Drosophila melanogaster: one gene and its partner. Changing the gene in region 1 together with any one later gene gives a genetic interaction. Each region holds a gene or a part of one and is shown in the gene's direction. Other genes may lie near its edges.

What was found.
Region 2: of Abl (region 1) and ena, changing one suppresses a phenotype caused by changing the other (phenotypic suppression), as found in Drosophila melanogaster (5 studies listed by BioGRID).

Annotation. Positions count from the first base shown.
Region 1 is NT_037436.4:16,645,842-16,649,595, reverse strand, and holds the start of Abl (Abl tyrosine kinase), read left to right. Parts: upstream 1-1,713; 5' UTR 1,714-2,452; coding exon 2,453-2,786; intron 2,787-3,754. UniProt on the Drosophila melanogaster protein: Arm and Abl proteins function cooperatively at adherens junctions in both the CNS and epidermis; critical for embryonic epithelial morphogenesis regulating cell shape changes and cell migration.
Region 2 is NT_033778.4:19,153,119-19,156,872, forward strand, and holds the start of ena (enabled), read left to right. Parts: upstream 1-2,102; 5' UTR 2,103-2,356; coding exon 2,357-3,249; intron 3,250-3,754. UniProt on the Drosophila melanogaster protein: Functions, together with Abl, trio and fra, in a complex signaling network that regulates axon guidance at the CNS midline. Required in part for robo-mediated repulsive axon guidance. May be involved in lamellipodial dynamics.

The DNA of each region.
Region 1 (3,754 bases):
TATTTCCGGTGTTATTGACATGCGCCAAATGAATGTTTTGTTTTCCACTAGCCCCTGAATGTATTTCGATATTTGCGTTGTCAGCTATAATTTACCTCTCGGGTGGAATTTTGTGTTGCCTCCCAATTTTAGTTAAAATTCTCAAGAAGGATCAGACTCCTGCCTTCAGTTTGGATATCGCACAGTTTGCGATACTTGAACGACAGGCATTTTTGGTTGAAATTGAATTTGATTTACTGGAGAACTGTTTTCCTAAAATCACTTGTAGTTGGGGTCTGAGAACTTTGTACTTCTAAGTCTATACGCATATATATTTATAAAAACCTATATTAACGGAATATTAAACACGTGAAAACGGAATACCAACCAATAACAAAACACTAAGTTAGTCTATTGTTCCAAGATCCAGAGCGCAAATTGTTATTGTAAAGTAATAAACTGTTTTCAAATCTGTAAGAACAAACAATATTTATAACAGTCGAAAAGACGTCTGATAAAATGTTGCTGACTGACTGGATTAAGTCGAAGCATTGTCATAGTCACCAATAAAATATTTTTGAAATTTTAACATATATTCCAGTCAGTCAGTATAGTTTTAACCAGTGTGTCAGTCATGCTGCAATACAAAAAGTTCGATTCTGTTAGGGGAAGGCATTTATTTAGTTAACCTGTGTTAAATGCATTTGAATATTCCTTCAAATTTCTTGCTGCTTTTTGGTAACTTAACAAAGCCACAGAAAGTCCTTGAACGTAACAAAAAAAAAAAAAAAAAAGAACGTAAAATAATAATAACCAGAGAAAAATTAAATTATATTTATACTTGTAAGCGAACAGAACAGAAGAGATCGCATGTGAAAGAGCAAAACCGAGAAAATGAAAAGCAAAAGTCCTACTTGAAAAGTTAATTTAGTGTAAGCGAGGAAAATGTAACTGAAAATGAAATCGGAGCAGAAGCTGAAGGAGGATCGTGTGAATGGAGAGAAGGATCGATTGATACTGAACTCTAGCAGGAGAGAGAAATTGAAACGAACAAACTTGAAATTTCTGTCGGGTATACATACTAAATAATAACTAAGCAAGAACACTAAAGATTGAGAATGCTAAACAAAACCAACGGATAAATAAAACGTAACAAACGGAAAAGGATGGAAAGTATTGCAGTTGTATTTATTAGTCGGGCTAAATGGGAATTTATGAATACATCTAAAGGCATATTATAAAAACCGTAGCTTGATTATTCGATGTTTTTAAATGTCAATTACATTTTGATTTGAGTCAGTTTTCTCTTAAAATCAATAAACTAAACTAGGGTTGACGCAATAGTCGAAAAAATTCGAAGTGTATCCATGAAAAATTAAAGATAATGTTATAAGTTGCATTGCATTGAAAATCTAAAGAGAATAAACTTTTCCTAGAAAGCTATATCAAGATTCTTTTAATTCAAATTATGTGTTTTAAACGTTTGAATTTAATTTTTTTTTGAACAACCAAAAATTAGTGTTCACAATCATGGAGTTTTTAAGCACTGGCTTACTAAGCTAAGTTAACCACCCAACCAGTCCGTGTCGCGCACCCATCATATTGCATTAGCCGAGTTTCTTACCAAACTAGCGCTGCCAACGCGTTCGTAAGTACTAAGCATTTATTATCAATATCGATACGTCTATCGGTATGCTGCCAAGTAGGGTATGTTTAAACGACCGACAAGCGGTCACACGAGTGCAAGTTGGATTCCAATTCGATCCGTCGCGGTGCGTGGAAAAAATGCACAGATGTAGATAAATCAGCAAGCAACGCTAGCAGATCAGATAGAGCTATATCGTCGCGAAAACCGATTAATTTGCCATGTTCAGCGGATCAGCCTGCGGATCAATTAAACCGTAAAAAACAGAGCAGGCGAGCGTAAGCAAGAGAGAGAGGTGAAGCCAGAGGCGGAGGCGCAAGACAAAGTGCATTTTCAGGGCGTGTTTTTGAGACCCCCCTCGCCAGTTAAGCTCACCCAGCCTCCCAGCCGTCGACAAGAAGTTTGCCGACACAACATTTTACCAACATGCTGCAAATTCGCAATTGCACCTGAGCGGCCACTAGAACAACAAATCAGATAAATCGCAAACTTCCTTTTTCCTCCGTGCGTGTGTACTTCTGTGTGTGCGTGAGTGTCTCCAATCTTTTTTGTCTACTCCAAAAACGCAGAAAGAGAAAGAAAAATGTGTGCGTGTGTGTGTGTGAAATAAATTAAAGCAAAGCAAAAGGCAAAACGGCAAATAATTGAGCAAAAGGCCAAGAGAGAAGAGTTAAAGCTGAAGTATATAACAAGAAAAGCAAAGCAAATAATAAGTAGTAGTAGTAAGCGAATAAGCCGTAGCAGCAGGAGCCGAGAGAAGAGAGAGAAAAGTGTACAAGTTGTTGTTGCTGCGCAAGAGCGAAAAACCACCCAACCACCCACTGGCAAATGGGGGCTCAGCAGGGCAAGGACAGGGGCGCCCACTCGGGAGGAGGCGGCTCGGGGGCCCCCGTCAGCTGCATCGGCCTCTCCAGCAGCCCAGTGGCCTCCGTTTCCCCCCACTGCATCTCCAGTTCCAGCGGCGTCAGCAGCGCCCCCCTCGGCGGGGGCTCCACGCTCCGTGGCTCCCGCATCAAGTCCTCGTCCTCCGGCGTGGCCAGTGGCAGCGGATCGGGCGGAGGCGGTGGCGGATCCGGATCGGGGCTGAGCCAGCGTAGTGGCGGACACAAGGATGCACGCTGCAATCCCACCGTGGGTCTCAACATATTCACCGAGCATAACGGTAAGTTCCTGCAAGTGTTGGAAAACAGGCATCGAAAGCATGCTAAGTACACAGAGCAAAAAGCATATTTTCAAAATTTGAAAGCCTTGTTAAGTCAAATTAAACGAAAAACGTCTGTACATAGTGCACGCTCAATCAAAATCGTTTTTATAAAATTAGGTGTGCACTAAAATTTTGTTTTCTATTCGAAGTTATTTAGTGGTTTGATCATTTTGTGTTTCGATTTCTGTAAGCTTGACTTATTTCTCATTGGTGTTTCTTCTTTTACATTGGATCTTAGAATTATTTTCTTGCACATTGTAGTTTGAGTTAAAAAGGCATCAATCGTAGAAATCATCTGGACCAAATCGATCTGTATAAGTGTTGTGTAACATACATATAAAAGTCAGAGGATGCACAAACATGCATACATTTGGAGGTCCCATTCACTTACACACTAATTGTAAAAAATTGCATGCAGCCTCCAAACTCAGGTGTAAATTCCATCATAGTATTGTGACTTTTCTTATTATACATGGAAATTGTTGTTGCTGTATTGCCAATTGCTCAGAGTTGTGTTATCTCACATCCACCACAATCATTTCAATTCGTGATGAAATCTTTTGATATTCCATACAACAGTTTTTAAGGACATTCAAGAAATCAGTAACTAAAAACTTATTCAATGGGGGTACTTTCAATAAAAAAATGCTTTTTTAAGCGTGCTCTTGCCATTAAATCTCTTTTGTAAATATCATGTAAGTTTTGATTTATCTGCCAGTTTGGGCTGCACAGTGTTGTATTTATTGTTCATAAAGTGCAGTCCACTCGGCTTTCCCTTTCCCCCTCTCTCCTTCTTTATGATCCCCGCCCTTCCTCTATATACGCTGCTTTCCAATTGAGCCAATTTCTTTTTTCCTCCATTTCTTCCGATTATATAGGAAATTATTGTTGTTATTGCCGGCTAGTTTCATACTTGTTGTTGCTTT
Region 2 (3,754 bases), on another chromosome or scaffold:
GGTCTTATTTGTGTTTGAGTTTAAGTCACCACGAATGTGGATATATGTAAATAAGTAAATATGAGTGGTTCGTCGGAACGTTCAACGTTAATCCTTTTGGCTACGAGCTTGATTGAAGTCGGTATCCATAAGCTGAATGGATCCCAACATATCGTCGTCACCTGTGCCAGTGGAATGGAAGGTCTGCGATGAGGTGCTGCAATGTGACCCAAATCCAGGCTTTGGTCGGTACTTATAAGTTAAGAAAAAAGTTGGTGTACAAAAAATGTGAATGAATGTATTTTAGATTAAATTTTTACCATCATAAACAAATTCGTTTACAGTTTCCTTTCTGAATTTGTGGTTTGCAACACCTTATAAGATCAACATAAATGTTGAAACTAACTGAGCACGGATTTTCTCGCAGTGCAGGCACGGCAGGAAGCGCTCCTCCCGTGACGAGTTCATCGCGCAGTGATATTCGATATTGATTGAGACCCCCACTTGTCCCCCAGCACTTCTTGATGTTTGCCATGGGCAAACTGTTTTGAGTCTCCTGACTGCCTGGCAACCTACTTTGTGACTCCGCTGCTCACATGTGTGGGCCCTGTTTGTTTTTATGATTTTTTTTTTTCCAGTCCGATGTCTGCCTGCGGGTCTTTATGGACAGCCATATGGATTACTCCAGTACTCGCATTCGTAGTGCCCCTTAGAAATATTTAGTTGCCAAATCATTTAAGCCGCGGCACACGCTCTGGTCCAAAAAAAAAAAAAAACAAAACAAAAATGGTAAAAAAAAAAAACGAACTGAACCATTCTGACAGAGCCATTAAAGCTAGCCGGTAATCGGTTGGCTCAAATCAGAGATCGGTGAACCACCAACAGCCACTACACAACCACTTACAATGGGCCACAATAATGTTAATTGGAAATAACGTTTAGGAATTGTTGTGGGGCAAAAAACCGAATCAGACTGAAACATAAGCCAGCGAGTCAGAAACAGAGGCTCAGATCTCTGAGAGCTGAGTGCTCCAAGTTGAGATAGACAATGTTGTATATGAATTTTTCATAACATGCTACAAGCTGTGCCTCCAGGTACCTCCCCCCCCCCATTTCCCGCCGCCGTCGCCGCTTTTCGCCGCCAAAGAACAGTTGAAATGAAGGAAACAAAAACGCAGCGAGCGAGGGAAAAATACTTGTAATAGTCACTCGAGGGGGAAATATAAATTATTGAGCTCGTTTCTTAAGTAATTATCGCACTGACGGACGGAACCAACTTACTGAATCACAAACACTGACCGAATGACTAACTGGCGGATGGACAGACTGACCAACTGGTTAAACGACGGTCACGAGACGTCGGCGAGGCTTCAAGATTGCCGGCAGAAAAAAGCCTCGGGCGCAACTTTGTAAGATTCGAGAGCTTATCGCATACCCTTCGAAACTGCATAAGAAATTTGAGATGGAACTTGCGCAATTTCATAGCTAGGCGAAAAGTTGTAAGGGTATGCCCTACAATTCATTGTATCATTGTAGCTCTCTGAAGATATTGCATATTTTAGGGAAACTGCTTGAAACTCTGTTTCAGTGCCTGAAAACTTCTCAAAATATAAACTTTTGAGTATTAAAATAAAATCGCCTTTCAATAATCTGAATCTTACATCCTTCCCTCAACGAAAATCGTGTAAAACGAGAACGTTTTTTCTCAATAGGTTCTATGCAGACTACTTGCCCTCACGTCTTTTAATTGTCATGCCATTTGGGAATCGTCTGAAGCGACTGTGAGTCAGGTTGTGGTCTCTCCATCTACCTGGCCATTATGCTCGGTTCCCAGCTCGGGGTCAATCCAGCTCAACATCCATAGCACATCTCATCATTTCTCATTATTTTATTGACTTTGAAGTGTAATTATTTGCCTTTTAGACGAATTCAAAGCGCAGCAGCCGCTAAAATGAGAGAAAAATACAGATTGTGAGCCGATACTCAGTTTCTCGCTCACGTCTTTTCTGCTCATTCGCCTTTAGATATATTTTTTTTCTCGGCTTTTGTTTGTCTTGGCCTCGACTGAGAGACCGTTTCGGTCTCTGAGACCCAGTCGCGATCTCGGTCTGGATCTTGGCTTTAGTCTCCAGCGGGTCTTGAGTGCGTTCAGACGTGTGCAGCTGAGATCTTGGAACGACGAATGGTGATCGGTGATCTCTGATCAGTGACCAGTGGGCAGAGAGCGAATAGCCAAGATCCAAGAGCCTAGGCAAACATAAATACGATACATCCGATCCGATCCGATCGTTCGGTTTCATAGTGTGCTTAAGTGTGGGATCGATCGTGGGATCTGTTTAGTGTCTGTGACGCCTCTGCAAATATTGGCCAACGGTTAATGGCCATGAAGAAGCTCTACGCGAAGACCTCGTTCACCAGCAAGAAGCCATCGAGTGCCGCCAATTCCACTCCGATATTGGCCTACCACCAGCAACAGCATCAGCAGCCGGGCAATGGCATTTGCGAGTTCCAGGTGGTGGCACCTGGTCACTCCGGTGAGCTAATGATACGCCGCAGCCAAAGTATGCACCACAAGATGTCGCCTCCAGTCGGCGGCCTGGGCTCCAAGTCGGAGTACTACAGCATTGAGGAGCTGCAGGAGCTGGATTTGCTGGACTATCGTCATCCCATGTACCATCATTATCAGCAGCAGGAGCTGAGGCAGCGCTACCATGAGCACGAGCAGTTGGTGCTGCAGTTACCCAAGGCTACTAGTCCAAAGGCAGGACCCATCTATGAGGCACCACAGAGATCTCAGCAGCAGCAGGATCAGATGTTGTATGTACCAACGGCAGCGCAAAGAGATTCATCATCAAGTGCTGCAGCCACATCTATAGCCAGCTCATCTACCCTAACTTCATCCCCATCGCCATCCTCCTCTTCATCTCTGATCTTTTCCACTTTGCGCAAATGCGTTTCGCCCTCGAATCCCTCGGTGAATCCGAACCAACCCTCAAAAACTCAACCCTCCAAACTGGGCTGTTCCATGTCGTTTTCAATTAGAACGACAACGGCAACAGCAGCCACAGCCGCAGCAGCAAATGCAGCAACAGCAACACTATCGACACAGCAGCAACAACAGCAGGCACAGCAGCAACACAAGCAACATCTCTATAGCAACATACATCATTATCTGATCCGACAACAACAGCAGAAACAACACTACACATTACAACGTCGCCATAATTCGGTCAAAGATAAATTCATTGGGGGCATTACAACGATTTTTGCGTATGTGTAACCCACTTCCCTATGCGTCTGTCCTTGGTTGGGTTCTGTAATAATTCCCATATTTCCCCACTTTTCTCTACTATACTTCTTCAATCTCAGCACGTAGTACTTGGCCCTGGACTTTTGAATGCGTTTTACAGCTTGGTGAGATCGTTCGTAAATCAAAGAACTCTTAACCCCCACAGAGCAGCCGCCGTCGTACTCTCCGGTTTAATCATAATTATAATTTAACGCCAATTAAGCTGGAAAACGCTATCGTGTGCACACGAATCTGCATCTTGCACTCGGCTGCAGTTTAAAAACTTAAGCTTAACGCACGAATAAATCCCCAAGGCATAGAAAATTTCACCTGCCACATATTGAAAATGCTCCCAAAGCGATTTTCCAGTGGCTCAATTATATTAGCATCCCATTTAACTGGCCATTTGCGGGGCACTTTTCGATTTTCATTTGGGTTTTCCACTCAGCTGCACAGCGCAAAAAAACGATTAAGATGTTAGTTTTT